5 linked regions of the Coturnix japonica genome follow. The protein of the gene in region 1 interacts with the protein of each later gene in a biochemical or structural test. Links are inferred from orthologs where the notes say so. Each region holds a gene or a part of one and is shown in the gene's direction. Other genes may lie near its edges.

The links.
Region 2: the proteins of RNF11 (region 1) and ITCH form a complex in vitro, tested with the Homo sapiens proteins (2 studies listed by BioGRID and IntAct). The link is inferred for Coturnix japonica from reciprocal best matches to the Homo sapiens genes RNF11 and ITCH.
Region 3: the proteins of RNF11 (region 1) and ZFYVE9 form a complex in vitro, tested with the Homo sapiens proteins (2 studies listed by BioGRID). The link is inferred for Coturnix japonica from reciprocal best matches to the Homo sapiens genes RNF11 and ZFYVE9.
Region 4: the proteins of RNF11 (region 1) and SMURF2 form a complex in vitro, tested with the Homo sapiens proteins (3 studies listed by BioGRID and IntAct, with this or other methods). The link is inferred for Coturnix japonica from reciprocal best matches to the Homo sapiens genes RNF11 and SMURF2.
Region 5: the proteins of RNF11 (region 1) and NEDD4 form a complex in vitro, tested with the Homo sapiens proteins (3 studies listed by BioGRID and IntAct, with this or other methods). The link is inferred for Coturnix japonica from reciprocal best matches to the Homo sapiens genes RNF11 and NEDD4.

The regions. Positions count from the first base shown.
Region 1 is NC_029523.1:21,407,952-21,412,122, forward strand, and holds the start of RNF11 (RING finger protein 11), read left to right. Parts: upstream 1-1,368; 5' UTR 1,369-1,834; coding exon 1,835-1,957; intron 1,958-4,171. UniProt on the Homo sapiens protein: Essential component of a ubiquitin-editing protein complex, comprising also TNFAIP3, ITCH and TAX1BP1, that ensures the transient nature of inflammatory signaling pathways. Promotes the association of TNFAIP3 to RIPK1 after TNF stimulation.
Region 2 is NC_029535.1:1,340,816-1,344,329, reverse strand, and holds part of ITCH (E3 ubiquitin-protein ligase Itchy homolog), read left to right. Parts: intron 1-1,604; coding exon 1,605-1,689; intron 1,690-3,250; coding exon 3,251-3,379; intron 3,380-3,514. UniProt on the Homo sapiens protein: Acts as an Acts as an E3 ubiquitin-protein ligase which accepts ubiquitin from an E2 ubiquitin-conjugating enzyme in the form of a thioester and then directly transfers the ubiquitin to targeted substrates.
Region 3 is NC_029523.1:21,729,031-21,732,544, forward strand, and holds part of ZFYVE9 (zinc finger FYVE domain-containing protein 9), read left to right. Parts: intron 1-516; coding exon 517-667; intron 668-1,965; coding exon 1,966-2,046; intron 2,047-2,346; coding exon 2,347-2,509; intron 2,510-3,514. UniProt on the Homo sapiens protein: Early endosomal protein that functions to recruit SMAD2/SMAD3 to intracellular membranes and to the TGF-beta receptor.
Region 4 is NC_029533.1:7,186,452-7,190,578, forward strand, and holds the start of SMURF2 (E3 ubiquitin-protein ligase SMURF2), read left to right. Parts: upstream 1-1,319; 5' UTR 1,320-1,648; coding exon 1,649-1,700; intron 1,701-4,127. UniProt on the Homo sapiens protein: E3 ubiquitin-protein ligase which accepts ubiquitin from an E2 ubiquitin-conjugating enzyme in the form of a thioester and then directly transfers the ubiquitin to targeted substrates.
Region 5 is NC_029525.1:6,743,655-6,747,168, forward strand, and holds part of NEDD4 (E3 ubiquitin-protein ligase NEDD4), read left to right. Parts: intron 1-458; coding exon 459-524; intron 525-1,164; coding exon 1,165-1,284; intron 1,285-1,725; coding exon 1,726-1,932; intron 1,933-2,938; coding exon 2,939-3,016; intron 3,017-3,292; coding exon 3,293-3,347; intron 3,348-3,433; coding exon 3,434-3,492; intron 3,493-3,514. UniProt on the Homo sapiens protein: E3 ubiquitin-protein ligase which accepts ubiquitin from an E2 ubiquitin-conjugating enzyme in the form of a thioester and then directly transfers the ubiquitin to targeted substrates. Specifically ubiquitinates 'Lys-63' in target proteins.

The DNA.
Region 1 (4,171 bases):
TTAAACAGTACTAAGGAAGGTTCAGGTTGGATATTAGGAACAATTTCTTTTCAGAAACAGTGGTGACACATTAACACAGGCTGCCCAGGAAGGTGGTGGAATCACCATGCTTGGAGAACCATGATGCTGTGGGACTGATGGACATAGTCAGTGGGCATGGGGGGAACGGGTTGGGGTTGGACTTGTGGAAGGGGTCTTTTCCAGTCTGAATGATTTTATGATAAAATGAGAAATGGTGGTAGAATAAAGATATTCTTCTCATTACCTGTTATCTTGTCAGTGATGCCACCACTGCACAGCTGAACGTCCTCTAGCTGCGCCTTAACCCACCACAGGATCCTGCAGAAGCAGCTCTGACATTGCTCTCACCTTGAAGCTACTCTTAAGAGAGGCAGTGACTCCTCTCCAACCACTGCTTACCTTCTTAATTCTCCTATTAACCGAGTCAACATATTCCTGCGATAAACATTCACACCCTGTACAGTATTCATTGTGAGTTACAGCACACTATTACAAAGTGTTTCCATCACAAGCAACACTCACAACTCAGGCACTACTTCTAGCTTCTTAGGAAAACCTTTTCCAAGCCCTGTAAACGCCAACAATATCTTCTCTGTTGCTATAGATTTCATACTGAAAGTGCTTAAGTCACCCAATAACCAGCAGCAAAACAAAACTCTCAAACAATAATAAAAGGAAATCCTCAAGGAGGAACTCACGTGGATAACAAGCAGCAGCACAGCTCCCCACCTTCCAAGCACTAAAGGGCCTCTCAAAGGTCTGAACAGAGATGGAAGAGCCAAGTACCAGCAGCTGGCTTAAAGAACTCAGATGGGAGCCTGACACAGATCAGCTGAGACACCCTTGATTAAAGCCGGCCATGCTTTATTGCTTCAGGACCTAATTTCTAGTTGCTGTCACCTGTGTTGAATTTGCTTCAGATCAATATTCAGTGGCCTGAACCTGATGGGCAAGAAGGCACTATGAGGATCTGAGCTGGAGGAAACCCTTAAATGTGCCTTAAGAAACATGTTTCCTTCATGCTGCGTTGGTGTGGTTATGTTAGAAGGGTGCCGACTTCGCACTGTGCATACAACTGTATTTCACTTTAAAAGTTTATCTTCTCAATTGAGAGGCTGCACACACCGTTACATCAATCACGTATTGCTGTAGCTCTCATCACCTCCAAGGCCGCCTCCGCACACAAAGAGCAGCACGGCCCGGCCCTCTGCCCTTAGCGGCTGCCGGGGCCCAGCGCGGGGCAGGAACTTCGGCCTCCGGCACAGCTCCGCCCCGAGCTCAGACGCCGGGTCCGTCCCGCACACCGACAGCTGCGGGGCGGAGCGAAGCGCCGCTCGCTGTGGGGCCGGAGGCGGCCGGCCTGGCCTCATTGCGCCGGGGCGGGCACAGCTCCCCGGCCGCCGAGCGCGGTGCCGCCGGGCCCTACGTGCGCGATCCCGGCGGGGCGGAGTGAGAGGAGGAGCCGGGGCGGCCTGTGCGACAAAGCCCAGTGCGCAGAAAGCTGGTGACCAGGAAGCGGAACGGCACCGGGCTGCCGCGGGGCGGGGGGCGGGCGGACCCCACCTGAGCCCCGCTGCCCCAGCGCTCCCGGGCGGGAGCCGAGCCCTGCGGCCCCACGGCTCGGGGCCAAGTGCGGCCGGCGCTGCGGGGCGGCCGTGCTGCCGCTAAGCCGCTTAGGGCCGGGCTGGCATGAGCCTCCCCGGCGGGGCGGCTGCGGGCTGCGCGCTGCGGGGCGGCTGAGGGTGCGGAGCCGTCCGTCGTAAGGAGGGGGAGAAAGCGGAGGGGACGCCCCTGCTCCCCGGGGGGAAGGAAAATGGGGAACTGCCTCAAGTCCCCCACATCAGATGACATCTCGCTGCTCCACGAGTCCCAGTCGGACCGGGCCAGCTACGGGGACGGGGCTGAGCCGGATCAGGAGCCGCCGCCGCCATATCAGGTACGGGAGGGGGCGGGGAGCGGCGCGGCGGAGCCGGTGGGGACGGGGACGGACGGAGAGGGGCACGGGACGGGGGGGCGGGTTGAAGCCCCGAGGACCCCCCGGGGCGCTGCACAGCGTCCGTCCCCGCGGGCACCGAACGGCGGGTCCCGGCCGTGAAGTGAGGAGCGCCGCTTTGTTCCCCGGGGGGTCGCCGAGCTGTCGCGGGGCCGCACGGACCGTTCGGGACACGAAGCCGGAGACGGCGGAGGGGGGTCGGGGCCCGCCCAGGGGTCGGAGCCGCCTCGATCGTGTCTGGATTTGGGCTGAAAGCAGGAGGGGAAGGCGTCGAGTTTCCAGCCGTGCCGCTTCCTTTGTTGTCGTCGCGCGGTGACATCACTGTCTGTGCCGCTCTCGGTGCTCCCCGCACCGGAGGCCGCGCGCTCGGCGCTGCCCGGCTTTGTCTGCGGCGCTTCGGCAGCAGCTGAACCGGAGTAACTTCGTGCTGCGGGGTGAGCCCGTTTCTTTCAGCTCCGTGCGGTTCCAGGAAGGGCCGTTCGCTCTCCTGCCTGGAGAGGATGTGTACATTGACGGCTGATGACGAGCTGGGGAAGAACGCCGGGTGCTCCGTCACGTCCTCACAGCTGTGGGGTCCCGGCACAGCTCTGTGCTGTGATGGCCACCAAAAGGACCCAGGGCTGCATTTATCCCCTGCTTCATCTCCATCTCCTAAGGAAGGATTGTACGTGGCTCTGAGCAGGACACGAGCCCTGTCTGAAGGGATCTGTAACAGTGACAGGTACAGATGAGTCCTGCGCTCCTTAGGGTGGGGAGTCACGCAGGAGTTGCAGACCTTAACGTATTATTAACAAGGCTGCAGGAAGTATTTAGCAGGGCAGATATTAACCTGTGATACTCGACGAACACCGGCTGTGACAGGAGGTCCCTGGGTTGCTCCATGGGCACAGCAACCCTTGGTGGAACCATGCTGGGACCACTGGGCCCTGCAGAGCTGCTCGCTTTATGTGACTGCTTCATGACAGAACAAATTCCCTAAGATGGGTTGGGTTTTTTTCCCTGACTTTTTAGTAAAGTCTGCACAAGTCCATTAAATAAAGATGTGTGGTGTCAGGTTTTTTTGACAGGCGATGTTCTGAGCCAATCCTGCTTGTCCCTCCTGTTTGGGAACGCAATGAAAATTGTCCCTTGGAAAAAAACCTGTCGGCTCTTGCAGGAGTTGAGAAATTGCACTGTGCAGGCCTTCTCCTGTCGACTTCAGAGCACAGCAGACAGTAAAATAAGCAAACTCGCAGACATTTGTTACTGTGTGCATTCATAGCAAAACTCCCCCAAACCCCACGCGCTGATCCCAGCAGATCTCAAACACTCACTGTAAGGGGCATCTTGTGTTGCATAGTCAACATTCAAAGATACTCGCTCCACAAATAAAGAAACACAGTGCTTTGTGATGACAAAAGACCTTCACCTTCATACTTTGCAGTATTCCACACGCTTTGAGGTTGAGGGGGGTTGTAACTTCAAATTGTTTTGGGGTGAAAAGGTGTGCAAGCCGAGCGCTGAACCTGGGGAACTCCTGGAGCTCCATTATTGCTGTAGTGGCAGCAGGATGTTGTGATCTTATCCTCTTCCTTGCCTGCCTTCCTCCGCAGGTCTGCATGTTCTCTTACACACTTTAATTCTCATTCAAACATTGTAGAAAGTATCACCTATAAGGACAAGAATCCCACATGCCCATTTCTAACACTGAATCTGAGCTATGATCTGGAATTTAAAATAAGGCCAAGAGTTTAAAAACTTGTTTGTGGCACCTACTGCTGCGCACGAGGAGCTGTGGACGATTAACAACTTAAAACTGAGCTGCTGGAGCCTCAGCCATAAAATGGCTGCATTTGGGTTTGCTTCCTTTGGGTTTGCAGCAACGATGTGCAAACTTCCTGAGCCGCTCTCTCAAGGTGTGCTAACAAGCAGAGCGAAGGAAGCTTGCTGGGGTAGGTGCAGCGTTGTAGACAGGACTTGTGTGTCTCTTTGAGCTAAAGTCTGTGCTATCTTGATACTCAAAACATTTTCTGTGTCTTGGCACGCTTGTTTTGTGGGTGTCCATATGGGAATCGAGTTAAGCAATAATTTTTTAAGGTGTTCACTTCTAACTGCAAAATAGGCACCTAATAATCTCTTCACTGTTGCATGCCAAACTCCTTTTCATCACTGAGTGCT
Region 2 (3,514 bases), on another chromosome or scaffold:
TTTCTCAGTAATTATCAGGTCATAATCGCTTCTCTCACACTGTCATCCTATTTTGCACCACACTCATTAGGCAAGGTTTACCCCCTCTCTCTCTTCCCTGGATGTTTATTGCTCTGAAAAGCTTTTGTAATGACAACTAATAATCATCTTGTCCATCTCCCTGGAATACATTTGTTTGGGTTTGTACTTCACAGGTTTAACAATTTACAATTAATGCAATTCTTTGTGCATGTGTGTACCAAAATGTAAAGCTGGATTCCTGCTGTGACTGTGAGGCAGATGTGAGAATTCAGGTGTCAGGATACACAGGCAGCGTTCTCAGGGTTGTAAAGCAGGTGACTGCCTCTCAGAGTTCGAGTTGGGTTTTTGTTTGTTTTTTTCAAACATAACTATTTAGATTTTTGTTCTCAGGTAGACACAACATCATGCCATAAACTTGTGCCCTCGCTTGTGTTTTCTTGCACTACATACACAATATGTAAAAGCATGTTTTTTAGGCTGATGTTGCTGGGGAAGCCGTGAAGCTGAATTTCCATGTTGAAATTAGTTCTGCTGCCAGTGTAGCTCCTATAGACAAGTGTTTGCTTCCAGGCTTCCCTTGTAAATTGGAGCTTATTACCTGCAATAGTCAAACTCTGGCCTTTTTATGTAATTTGTCTTCTGAGTTCTGCATGTCTTGTAACTCCCTAAATAAAAAATGGTGTAAAGAAATGCAGACTGGTCCAGAAGACCAAATCCTGGCATTTATCGTAAACGTTTTTCAGTCATGCAAATATATTTATCTGAGTGAAAATCTTGGAAACCACATCACTTTTATTTCCTGTCTATTTAGTACATGAGTATTTCATGTTGCTGTTGTTATGTTGCTGTTTGCACACCTTTGTACTTTCTTGATTCTTATATGTACCTCTGCAACCTCTTTTGTCTTTGTTTTCTACATGGTTTGTGCGGCATATAGCAAAAGTCAAAGCAGCTGGGATTTCCTGTGGAGAAAACAGCCCATGTTTTTACTTTCTTCCAGTTATTTTTTCCTATTGCTAAAAAAATAACATAGTAAGGGATCTTAACATGGAAAGTCATCTTATCTGTGTTTTAATCCTTCTACGTTTTTAGCTTGGAAAAATACCTGAAAAAGCTTCTTAAGAAGTGCAAGCAGTAGGCCAATGTATGCAATGCAGGTGAATCTCTTGTGATTAACTGTTTCCTTCCCACTAATGTTTGTATTGTTGCTATGATGTCCAGACTCTCACTGCTATAAGCTGCACAGTTGTAGACAGCTGATCTTTTCAGGGCAATAATTGAGATGCTAAGAAATTATGCATGAACACTTGAAGTGCAGCTTTTCCCTGAGGATGGGTGATGGTGCAGTTTCATATGATTATTAGCAGTTGCTATTATTTAGATAAACTCCTGGTTTTGAATAGACTAGGAAGGAGTAATGTCAATGAAAGTGAAAAGGTGTTGTGTTAAAGGAGCTACGGAGAAACCTGAACATAGGTGAGGCTGTGGCAGGCTCTGGTAGTTGGATTTATTTGTTGTATTTAATTATTTCAACAATATGGTAACCAAGGTATTGAAATTTGTTTTCTTTTTGTATATTTTAGAAAAGAGGACTGACAGCAATGGCAGAGTGTATTTTGTCAATCACAACACACGTATCACGCAGTGGGAAGATCCCAGGAGTCAGGGGTAAGAAATCAATTACAGCTTCTTGTAAATCCGAAATGAAAATGTAATAAAGAAGTGAGAATGAGGCATTGGCTGGATGATACTGCTTACAGCTCAAGCATAGGCTGTCACAGAATCATAGAATGGCCTGGGTTGAAAGGGATCTTAAAGATCATCTGGTTTCAACCCCCCTGCTGTGTGCAGGGTCACCAGCTACCAGACCAGGCTGCCCAGAGCCACATCCAGCCTGGCCTTGAATGCCTGCAGGGATGGGGCATCCACAGCCTCCTTGGGCAACCTGTTCCAGTGCATCACTACCATCTGAGTGAAAAACCTCCTCACAGTATCAAACCCAAATCTGCCCTGTCCCACTTCAAAACCATCAACCCATGTCCTATACACAGTTCTCAGGCAGTTAATATTAAAGGATACCACGGAAATTGAGATTGTAATATGGATAATATAATGTAATAGATAGTAATAATAGAGTTAGCAGGAAAATCTTGCTCAGCAGCAGTGAATTAATTCCCCAGAACAGTTCCTACCATTTTCATATACTGTATATGTATTTGTATTGCTGCAGGGGAGAGAGAAGGATTTCTTCTTGATGCAGAAGATTCTGAGTCAAAATTTGATTATTTACCAAACAGATGATAGCAAGAGATAGAGATGGGAAACACAAACTCCAGGAACTGCAGCACTTCCACTTTATCATTTTTAAATAAAATTAAATCTAAAAAAAAAAAAGAAAAAAAAAAACTAGAGGCACTACCCCACAAGTAATGGATTCTTGTATTTCTCTTTAGTTTGGGGTCCAGTTACTTTGTCTCTCAGAGGTAGGAAGTGAAAAGTGAAGGATGTTTTCATCTCACTCAAAAAATCTCGGATAAAATTTCCACCAAATGAAACAGTTTGGCCTGTCCCTTACAGAGGAGGAAGAGAAGTGGAGGGGCTAAGAGCAGTAGCCAGAGATGACGACCTTTGCATGTCAGGCACATCTGCAGCAGCTGACTGAATGGAAAACACTGTTATTTCTAGTAACCACCCAAATTTATAGCTGGAAATGTGGCCCTACAGTGTCTTTCTGTAAACTCTGTAGAAGGACTCTGTAAACACTTTGGTGGAGTGCTACTACTCAAGTGTTCCACATATTTCAAGATACACTTACACTGATGTCAAAGTTGAGGTGGGAGTTGTCAAAAAAGGTCACTGTTTGTATTTTCTTTATGTTCTTTTATTTTTGTCATTCTGAAACACTTAGCTGCTGAAATTATATGTGAGGTAACTAAGGCTACTTACTAAGACAGTGTCAGTTTCAGAATAAAACTGTAATAAATGACAGATTCTATTTGCTGTTATATTTCTACACAACTGAAGGAGCTAAAAATTCATTTAAACAATCACTGTGGTCTGAGAGCTGACTTGAAAATTGGAGAGAAAAAGGCAGAATAAGTGCTGAATGGAAAGTTTCGCAGTCTGCACTTCTAGATCCACTTGAATTTTTACTGTCTCAAGTCATCGATCGGTTGCCTTGATTGTATTAAGTTGTATTAAGTTACCATGTATTTTCTTGTACTCACAGTCAATTAAATGAGAAACCCTTACCTGAGGGCTGGGAAATGCGATTTACTGTGGACGGCATTCCATATTTTGTGGATCACAATAGAAGAACCACTACATATATAGATCCCCGCACGGGCAAGTCTGCTCTGTAAGAGTTTTTTAACTACTGCCTTTTAAATGTGAAGTTCAACAGCCATCATTAAGTTTATTTTCTCTGTTTTGTGTGCAGGAAGTTTTACACGTAAACTTTTTGTTTTCTTAGTCCACTGATGACACTCCCTGA
Region 3 (3,514 bases), about 320 kb from region 1:
AGATGTCAGCATTTTCCTTCTCTCTGAGGTGTAATTTAATCACTCGACCCTCTTTCCCCTCTTTTTTTCTTTAAATCAAATACATCATTTTTAGTTTTGAAACAAGTTCCAGGACAGGTGACTCCTCAGTGTTTGTTTCAGATAAAAAATCTCATCGTCAGAAACAAAATGGGGATCATTGGCTCTAGTAGCGTCAACTAACCAGATATTTCCTCCCAATATTTTACTAATATTTTTTTCCCTTGGATGTTTTATAAAACAGCCACTTTGTAGGTCATCTGTCCTTCCTACCAGTTATCCTAATTACTTGAGAGGTGACACTAAAGCATCTAGATTAAATGAGAGCTGAACTGTCTTTTCAAGTGCAGGTTATGGTTCTGAGTACTGGAGTCTGTCTGACATGAGACTGCAAGCACTCTTAATTTTCACTGTCTGAATGAACCGTTCCAAGAATAACCCTTACATGGTATTGCTTGACAAACAGGGTAAGAATGGCATAAACCTTTTTGTTTGCAGATGATGAAAGCCATGAACAAATCCAACGAGCATGTTCTAGCAGGGGGAGCGTGCTTCAATGAGAAAGCAGACTCGCATCTGGTGTGCGTTCAGAATGATGATGGGAATTACCAGACGCAGGCCATCAGCATCCACAATCAGTCGAGGAAGGGTGAGACTGGGGCTCGTGAGGCCATTGGATCACGGTTCTCTGTATAACTTCTGTTTTGCTGTTGTTCTTACAGTGATGCCACACGTTGCTTGGTGAATCTGTCAGGATTGGGCTTGTCTGTATTTCACTGTTTCTGCTCTAGTTCAGAGAAAATCATCTGACTGTTGGCCTTCCTGAGTGGGCAGCTTTGTGAGTTAGGTTTGGACACGCAGAGTAGCGTGTTGCGCTGCTCTCTGCCTTTACCCCCCCCAGCACAGTAAGGCATCCAGGGGCACGCTGCTGTTTGTGTCCTGTGTGCAGCCCTCATCACACTTCCTAGGTCAGTAGTGCTGTTCTGAATTAGTCTGAGAGGCATTCTGGCAGCTTCATAGACCAAGCAGACACAAAATGAAGCATATTACAGCTTGCTCCCTTGTAAATGTGGTAATACTGTTTGCACAGTGCAGCTTGGGACATGCACATTTCCAGAAGTGCTGTGACTGCCTTACACAACTTCTGTATATGAAAAATGACAGCAGTCTTTGGCCTTGTTGGAGACTAGAGGTGGGAGTGTTGTTGCCTGTGCTTGCCCTGTAGGCTGTGCAAAAGGAGGAAGATGGGTTTAGTAGGAGGGGGGAGATGTGAACAGAAATAAACAACAGCAGCAGTGTTTAAATAACGTAGCTTCAAAGATGTGTTCGCCTCTGTCAGATCATCTCATTTCCAGGCTTTACCTGGCAGAGACATTTACACTATCACCAAATGAGAAGAAGCAAGATACAGGCCAGCTTTTGTTTTCCAAGTATCCCCATATGCATTGAGTGTACTGACATGGGACATCACTTCAGGACTGCTGGTTTTATCTGGGTGTGGTTTGTTTTACACATGGGATGAATAGAGGGACTTCCAGCGAGTATTCTGTGATGCTTGGTGGTCCTTTAAGAGAATTTTATTCTAAATGAGCTGGCTGTTTTTCCACTGGTTGGTGTTAGTGTGAGCTATAAGCAGATCACAGTCTTTTGCTGCCTGTGTGAGAACTTTTAGGGTGATGTAATTGGTTACCCTAAATTAACAGTTTTGAAACTTAAAGGCATTACTGGGGAGAGCGATGAAATACCGGCATTTAGGCTGATAAAACAGCTGTCCAGAAGGTGGCTGGATGATTTGCCTTTCTATGTCCAAGCATGTAAAGCACTGAGCAGCACTTGTTCTGATTTCTGTTAATCGCCTCTTTGGGTGATGGAGCTGTTGTACCTGATTGTTGTGTGAGGCATTGTCTTGATGAAAGCCTCACTAAATCACTCTGGTTGTTGTTGCAGTGACTGGTGCCAGCTTCTTTGTGTTCAGTGGAGCTTTAAAATCCTCGTCAGGCTACCTTGCCAAATCCAGTATAGTAGAAGGTAAGAACTGAACTGCTTGCTTCATATGTGCTGCTTCCCCCTTAGCACTGCTCAGCTAAGCCCTGAGCATTTGAATGAAGCTGCTGGTTCAGCTTCATCTTACTTAGGAAAAAACCCCACCCGTTGTGCTTTTTGTTCCATCTTTTAGGGATCAGAGGGTTCAGGAATGGGCTTGTGTAGTGTCAGAATGGATTTCCAACATGTTTCAGTGTTGCTTACAAGAGGAAGGATGTTTTTCTGTTCTATACTGTCTGCTCATTGTGATTTATTTTGGCTTATGAGGATTTCTTGGTTCCCCAGATGGAGTAATGGTCCAGATAACTGCAGAGAACATGGACTCTCTGAGGCAGGCCTTGAGAGAGATGAAAGACTTCACCATCACCTGTGGCAAAGTAGATGCTGAAGATCCTCAGGAACACGTTCACATTCAGTGGGTAGAAGATGATAAAAACTTCAATAAGGGGTAAGCAAGACATTATGTGACTGAATTTGTTAAAAATTTGAATGGATTTGATTTTATAAGGTGACTGGACTAAGTGTGAATTATAAGCTTATACCTCTACTTTGAGTGATAAGATGCAATTAAACGTAATGAAAGTGGAGCTTGAGACACCAGAGCTTTGGGGCATCAATTAAGAGTTGTCAGTGCTGCGGATTATTTTCCCGTTGCTCACAACCAGTTACTGGAATCTCTCCAGCACTCAATGCTGATCCCTGCGTGTTATGGTCAGTTCATGCTCTTGTTGCTTTGTGTGCATTAAGTTGTGCTGGAAGAGAAACTGCTGAACACCAGCAGTAAATGCTGTGCTTCGATGGTTAAGCCAAAAGAAAAGCGTACACGGCAGTTTAAGTACTTAAGGGGGAAAAATGCTGTTATGATGGGTACAGCCTCGTAAGGAATCAGCGTCTAAAGGGATGGCCTTTCTGTATGTACAGACACCGTGTCAGTCTCAGGTTCTGTAATTAAATGTTACAGAACACATTCTGTGGTGTATAAGCAGTGTTTTAAGGTATCACGGGCCTCCACCAACATTACAAATGGCTAAAAAGCAAATCATTTGAAGCACATCCTGTTGCTCTTTTTACACCTGAGTTCAATCCTGGTGCAGAGCTAAGCTGGAAACCTGCAGGAAGCTCCATCCTGAGCTCCACATGTCAGAGGGTTGGGGTTGCAGCAGACAGCAGGACTGCTGTGCCTCTTGGCTCTTCCCTTATTATGAACATCCAGGCTTAGTATCAGCATTGCAGCTGTACACAGGGTCACTTATTTTGGCACCCTCTGTTCAAGGAGTTCCCTGCTGAGGCTGGTTTTGGTCTGTGCCCCATTTAGTTGATGTGATAAGTTGCTTTGTTGTAGTGGTTCAAGTTGCAGTTATGAAAACAACCTGCAGCAATTCTATTGAAGTCTAGGTGTACCAGGGGCACTGTCCTGTCCTTTGATCTGTGAGATACTTTTCCTTTACAATGT
Region 4 (4,127 bases), on another chromosome or scaffold:
ACAGAAAATTTGCACCTGGAAGGATCTGGTGCTTGAGACACGCTATGGGACAATGGAGACGTGAGTCTGTGCATACAGGGGGGGACCCTTTCATAGAACCATAGAATGGCCTGGGTTGAAAAGGACCACAATGCTCATCCAGTTTCAACCCCCTTGCTGTGTGCAGGGTCACCAACCACCAGAACAGGCTGCCCAGAGCCACATCCAGCCTGGCTTCATTTTAAAGGGGAAAACTTTGAGAGCCATATCCTACTTGTGAGGCCTTCAATGGGACAAAATCAATTCCTGCTCCTAGATGTGATTTAATGAGGTCCAAGCCCCAAACTCAGCCAAGATGAGCCAACTCTGGACATGCTAGTTCAGTTCTGTGCTGTATGCAGCTTCAGAAAGTGAACACTGGGCTATGCAGAAGCTACATTACAAACTCTGCAAAGCATTGGTCATCTTTTCATCCCGTGTTTGGATCTTGGTACTCAGGTTGGATCTTAATCTATGACCGCCCTTATAGTAATACTTAACAGGTTGGCTCAGCAGGAAGAAGTCAGTGCAATGACACGACTGAGTGAGATGCATGTGAACATACAGAGCATTAGTAAGGTTATTAGTACGAATAGGTGTGTGGTTTATTAGCTCAGTCTTATAAGGTAAACTTTACTGTGGCAACTTTACAGCTTTTCCGGGAGCTTTTCCCGGCCTTCAGAGCCCGCTTGGCATTGATGTGAGCCCTGCGCTCCCCTCCCTCATGGGAGATGTGCAGGAGCTGGACAGACTGTGGAAGGAGTCACCTTTCCTGCAGGATGGAGCTAAATTAGGCCTCACAATGGGAATGTGAGGCCTTTTTTTTTTATTTTTATTTTTTTTTTGGCAATTAGCACAACCGCGCTGCTCATTTTAAGCAGCACAGACAAGCAGCACATCAGCTCAGAGTTCATTGCTCCCATGGCAAGTCTGCTGTGCCCCATCCACCCAAAATATTGCCCCAGATTGCAAGCACTCCCGCATGGCAGACCTATTCAGTTTAGCCCGGCTTTAAATGTATTCCTATGCTGTTTCTTCTCACGTGTACCTTTGTCCCCCCACCCGTTTCTCTGGCTTCCCTCCTTCCACACCTCGGTAATTCCTCCCGACTCCCCCCAGTCTCGCCGCCACCTGATGCAGCCCCCATGGGGCATCCCGCTCACATCGGCCCCAGCCCCGGGACGGAGCGGGACTCGGGGTGGGCACTCGGCCTCGGCCTCCAACGGAGCACAGAGCAGAGCAGAGCCGAGCACAGAGCAGAGCCGAGCACAGAGCAGAGCAGAGCCGAGCCCGGCCTGCCCAGGGGAGGGGAGGCGGCCGTTCGCTGCTCCGTCCCGGCTTTGTTGTGCTCGCCGCCCGGGCTGCGGGTTAGGGGGCGGGGAAGCGAAGGGAAGGGAAGGGAAAGGAAGGCGGCCGCGTCTCCTCCTCCGCCTCCTCCTCGGCCCCGGCCCCACTCATGGCGACGCTGGGCACATCCGGGCTTCTCCTCCTCCTCCGGCGGCCGCCGCTGCCCTGAGCGCCCGAGCCGACTCCATTAGCGCGTCCCCTCCCCCCCCGTCTCCCTTCCCGGACCCAGAGGCAGGGGGAGCCCCGGGCAAAGCAGCGCCGGGCCCGAGCCGCGGCCGGGGACATGTCCAACCAAGGGGCTCGGAGGAACGGGCCCGTCAAGCTGCGGCTGACAGGTGAGGCTGAGCGCGGCGGCGGGGAACTGCGGCCGGGCCTGCATAACGCTGTATAACAACGCTGCATAACGCTGAATAACGCTGAATAACGCTGAATAACGCTGAATAACGCTCGGGCACGGGGCGAGCAGCAGCGGGGCTGTGCGGGACGGGGCGCGGCGGGGAGGGGAGGGGAAACCCGCGGCCACGGGGGAGCGAGTTCCTGGAGCGGCGGGGAGCCCCGGCGAGCCCAGCTGGAGGGTGGGAGGGAGCGAGCGAGCGGGAGCTCCTCCATGTGTATTTGAGGTTGAACCTGGGCTTGGAGGCGGCTCTCAGGCCTCGTGAGGAGAAGGGGCAAAATACAGACAGCGAACTCTTCCCTCTCCTCCCGTCCGCTCCCTCAGTGAGGGCAGCTCCCCGTGGGCCGCCCGCCTCGGGAACAAAACGCCAGCGGGAGCCGTGTGGTACCGGGCACCTCAGCCCCGTCCCGCCGCCCCCACCGCTGGGTTTCGCTTTTTTTCCTTCGCCTTCTCAGCGTGAACTTGAAAGAAAGTGACACACGCTTTGTTTTCATCTCTTTGTTTGTTTCTTTATATATATATATATTTTCCCCGAGCCGACTTCCTTAGTGAAGGTTGTACACAGTCGGTTTGACACGGTGCCTTGTGTGGGCAGCTTTCTCTCAGAAGACCACTTGACCTCGAATGCTTTAAAATAGCATTAAAAAGCTGCTCACCTGCGTGCAGGGAAGGAAAATACGCTATTTCCAAGCACTTGAAGTGTTATGATCCTTTACATGAGAGAACCAGGTACATTGATCGAGAGAAGGAACACTGGAGCTCTCTTTAAAAAAAAATAAATAATACAGCGAAGTTAATAGGACAGAGCTGCTCCAAAGTGATGTAAGGCCCTCCCCCAGCTGATAAATCCTATCTTGGGTTCCAAAGTGTGAGTGCTTGAAGGTAAGCCGTTAGAAAGCAGGAGATACATTGCTTCAAATACTCTTATTTGCAGATAGTGGGTTTAACCAGCTTGCAAAACAAATATGTTTTAACAAAAACCTGAAGGAATTGGAACATTAACTATAGGCACATCTGAAATATTTCCAGTTTGATGTCATATAAATACAGATGTTTTCATATTTATTTTTTGCAAGCGTGCTGTTTTTATAGAGGAGATGCAATGTATGTTTTGCTGTGGAAGTACCTTGGACTAAATTTATAATGTAATTTTCATTGAGATGTGTGAATGCCTATATAATACAGTGAGAAATGAAATCTGTGAGCTAAATGTGGCTGGGACCGATGCATGGAGCAGTGCTGCCTGTTTGTACAGTGCTTGGGAGCTTTTTCTTCAGGTTACTGCTTTATTGATGCAAAACTTTAATGCTTTTTTTCCCTTTGCTGTGAGTGCTCAGACTTGCTTATCTTCGAAACATTGCGAATAGTCTGGAGCCTTTAGTAAAAGCCTGGAAAATACTGTTCAGGCGGCTGTCTGCTTCACCTTTGGGTTTTGTATTCTGTTGTGTTTTATTTTGATTAAGGATTAAGTACGTCTTCTAATCCTGTCTTTGACAACATAAATATGTCAAGGGGAGTGTAGCTGTGAGCAATAGGCAGTGGTTGTATGTACCGAGTGGTTCCCAAAAGAAGCAGGTACGTTCTTGAGGAACGATTCTGAGTTTTTCATTACCTGTTTTTTAGGAGGGGTGGCTGCAGAGCAATGGATTCAAAGCAAAGTCGCCTTTAGAGAGAGACTGCTCCACTTTTAGCATCTCTGTGCAGGCGCTGAGAACCGGTTCTGTTATTTGGAAGCTTACATGAAATATTGACCTATTTCTCAAGTTAGAAAGACTTGAGGTATTTTGTGCTTTAGCAAACTGCCTGTTGTTTTTTATGCGGTCGTTGGTTGTAGGGAAGCTTTATATGCTTAAGAAAAGTTGTTACAAACATTGGATTTTATTAATTGAGCTGACACGGTGTCAGTCCTTGCATAGGAATAGATCTAAGTGTACTTTGTGGCTTTGATGACCCTTTTTGATTGGAAAAGCAGTTTGAGAGCTCTCAAATTCTAGAACTGTTTGGAATTAAAGGAATCTGTATATTCCAGTGTTTTAAAAAGTTTATTTTCATGCTTGCAAATGCTATATAACCTTAATTTTCTTTGGCTTTATGATGCCAGCAGTCTTCTGTTCTGGCTTGAATATTTATAGGATTAATTCTGTAAACATTGTGTAACACTTATCTTTCCTATTTGTTATCTCTAAATTAGATACTATAGATTGAAAAAAATAAAAAATAAATGGATTCAAGAACTGGATTCAATTAGCAGTTTTTCAGGACATAAACATTAAAGGTTTAGATGGAAAACATTGTTTTGACTGACTGGATAAATGACAGGGTAATGTTTGATGTGAGTCCAAGAGCTGATCTGTAGTAGTGCCCAACT
Region 5 (3,514 bases), on another chromosome or scaffold:
ACTGTAGTAATTGAACCACCCCTTTTGAGAGCTGTTATCTCAGTCTTTCATGTCCTATTTAAACTGTCCTCTGAAAACTTGTGTTAGCTCTGATGTGTAGTAGGCTGTAGTCCGCTGAGAAGATAATGAGTCCTATATTGTAAGTTCAATTGTAATGTAACTGTTTGCAAATAACTGATGTTTTTAATGCCAAAATATCTATTGTTAGGGTTTTCAGAGCTTTTTCAAGTCTCTATATTAATTTTCTTTGAAGCTACAGAAGATGCTATGAACAATGTTAACAGAAGTGCTGAAGCATCAGTTTACAAAATGTTTTGAAATGATCATTTTAAAAAAAAAAGATGTTTTCAGGGTGAAAACTGTAACAGTTTAAATTGTGATAATCACAGTCTACAGTTTGCTGTTGTCCTTAAAACTGCAAAAATAGCTGACATGTCATTCTTCTCCACTACTTCAAGAGCCATTCCAGCAGAAGAGGTAGTCTGCAAACATACAGAGTTGAAGAGCAGCCTGCACATCCAGTGGTATGTCATCATCCAACAACATTTGTTCAGAACATTTGTACACAGGAGGCTTGTGTAGCACAGAAGTTGGAGGATGTAGAACATCTTAATTTAGCTATGTATAATGGGCTCCTGGCAGCTCTCCTAATAAAGTTGCAGTTATGAGAGTCTAGGAGGACTGGAGTTCAGTTGTAAAGCTTCCATCTTCCCACTTGGTGTTTTTGGGTTAACATCACTTAATGCATGGATAGAGCTTGCAGAGGGAAATGATTCTCCCATGAAATACTGTTTCTGAAATCATTTACTTTTTAATAAGGGCTATACTGCTGTCCTTATGTTACATTTTCAAGGTGATGCTGCAGAATTATGAGTTCCTATCCAGAATTATGAGGCTAGATCAGCCATCTCTAAAGCGGACATCTAAATTAGTCCTTCTAATCCTTTTGGATGAGAGGCTTGAATTAAAAGTAAATAAATAAAATAATTCTGTCACTTGATGCTTCAGTAAGGATTTAAATACTACTTTTCTAATTTTCCAGTCCACGGAGAATCACGGCTTTTGTTAATTGTTATTGTCTTTAATTTGGCAGAGGAAAGCCTTTTCATAGTCAGTTTCATAGTTTTCCTAACTACTTTTTCTTCTGTTGTCATTAATATTTAGTTACTGCCTACTTCATCTGGATTACCGCCAGGCTGGGAAGAAAGACAAGATGAAAAAGGGAGGTCATATTACATAGATCACAATTCCAGAACTACTACTTGGATAAAACCAGTTGTACAGGTACTTTCTGCATTCTAATTACTGTTTTCATTCATATAACCTTTTAAACACTACACATAATAGGAGTTAAGTTTAGAGATCTCTTTGAACAAAAACATGTGAGAGGCATAACCTGATAACAAATCACAAAAATCTGAGGGAGTGCAACTGGAGTTAGTAACAGTAGTATTTATGGCAAGGCACTCTACGATTAATGTATCAGGAAAGCCTTCTGGAATGTGATGGCTGTTGGGGAAGCCTGAAGAACATTTTTCAACTTTGGTAGCTTAATCTGTGATTGTTAGTTATGTTGTTGATAAACAAAGCTGTCTACTGTTTGGCATTTGCTTTATGAAACTGCTTTCATGAGTTGAGAAATATTAGTACCTTAATATTAAGATAAAATACATTGTTCTACAGTTAATTTTTATTAGTGTTCTTCTTTTTTTCCTTGGTCTGTAGATTGCTATGGAAGCAGGTCAGTTGCCAACTGCACAAAATACTTCTATAGCAAGACAGCCACAAGCAACATCAGGTGATTCATCACAACAGTCTTCTAATCAGCAGCCTGAAATGGAGCAAGGATTTCTCCCTAAAGGCTGGGAAGTTCGACATGCACCTAATGGGAGACCATTCTTTATTGACCACAATACCAAAACTACAACATGGGTAATGATACCTGCTTTCATGGACTGAAGTTCTAGTTTGTCTCAAGTGAAAGCTTTCCTGCTTTTAGCAAACTTGCATAGATTTCTTTAGCGTCAAGATTTCTTCACTAGCATCTTTATTTAAAAACAAAACAAACAAGGAGAAACCTAACAACTCTCCTACCTCACATGCACAAACAAGAAGGAAAGAATGACTACAAATGTGAATGTGATTTATTGTCAGTAGAGAAGGTATTGTGACACATTTCTTATTCAAGCAAGATAGTCATGTCTGTTACGGAATATATGTGATTTAAAACAACAACAACAACAACAAAAACAAAAAAACCTGAATAATTTAAAATATCATTCCTGAGTAGAATCTCATGGATTTTATGTACTGTATTATCACTTGAAAGTTTAACTTAGGAGGAAAATACTGTGTTTGCGAATCAGTTTTGCAAGTGTAGAACTGTATGCAGTGTTAACAGAGGTCAGTTCTGTAATCCTGTCTTCCAAAAACAAATCCATTACCTTGAGTCTTTCACATCCTGCAGTGCACAATGCAAATTCCTGGAGCAGGTCAGGTGTAGCTGCAGTATGGATGCAAGTGTTCAGCTCTGGTTGTGCTGAGTGACACTGATTATCACCAGCCTGTCCTAGTAGATGGACTTAAGTGTTTAAAGAGTAGGTCATTGTTACTGCTAAATGAAAGGGAAATGTAGAGAATATATGAAAATGATACAAAAAATATATGTACTCACATCTATACACACGTATGTACATATATACGCACATACATAGAAAAGGGAGGGGATTTAAACCTGATTAGAAGATGATGATTGTAAAGTACTGAAATGATGATCCTCAAGGAACTCCCTAGCTGTAGAATATGCAACAGTTATCTTGTTGGTACTAGGCATGCTTTTTACATGGTCACTAACAAAGAGGAAAACAAAATTAAAGCAAAGCAAAACAAAACAAACCCTCAAAACAATTCTTACATGCTGATTGTTTTGTTTTCAAAGGAAGATCCAAGACTGAAAATTCCTGCTCATCTAAGGAGAAAGACTTCCCTAGATCCAGTAGATCTAGGACCGTTACCAGTAAGTAGATAATTTTTACTTGGTTTTCAAGGGATAACAATTTAATTTAAACTGCCACGATCTAAATTTGTACATGGAAAAAAAAAAGCAGTCTGTTGCTTTAAAAAACAAAACAATAAAAAGTTTTTTAAATAACAACAACAACAAACTAAATGTTGAATTCCAGAGTTAAGAGTAGATGGGAGGAGCAGGCAGCAATCCCTACGACTGCTGATCACCTCGTGTTTATGCGAACTGTGTGACTGTAAGTTTTCATTACGTATCTTCTTCTTACAGCCAGGGTGGGAAGAGAGAACACACACAGACGGAAGAATATTCTTCATAAACCACAGTATGTACAATGTAATGTTCTCTCACCACTCATCATGTCGTTACTGTTGTCTAAGTTAAGGGAAATAATTATGAAATACCTTGCAGATACCAAGAAAACACAATGGGAGGATCCTCGACTGCAGAATGTGGCAATAACCGGACCAGTAAGCTTTTCCTTACAGCTTT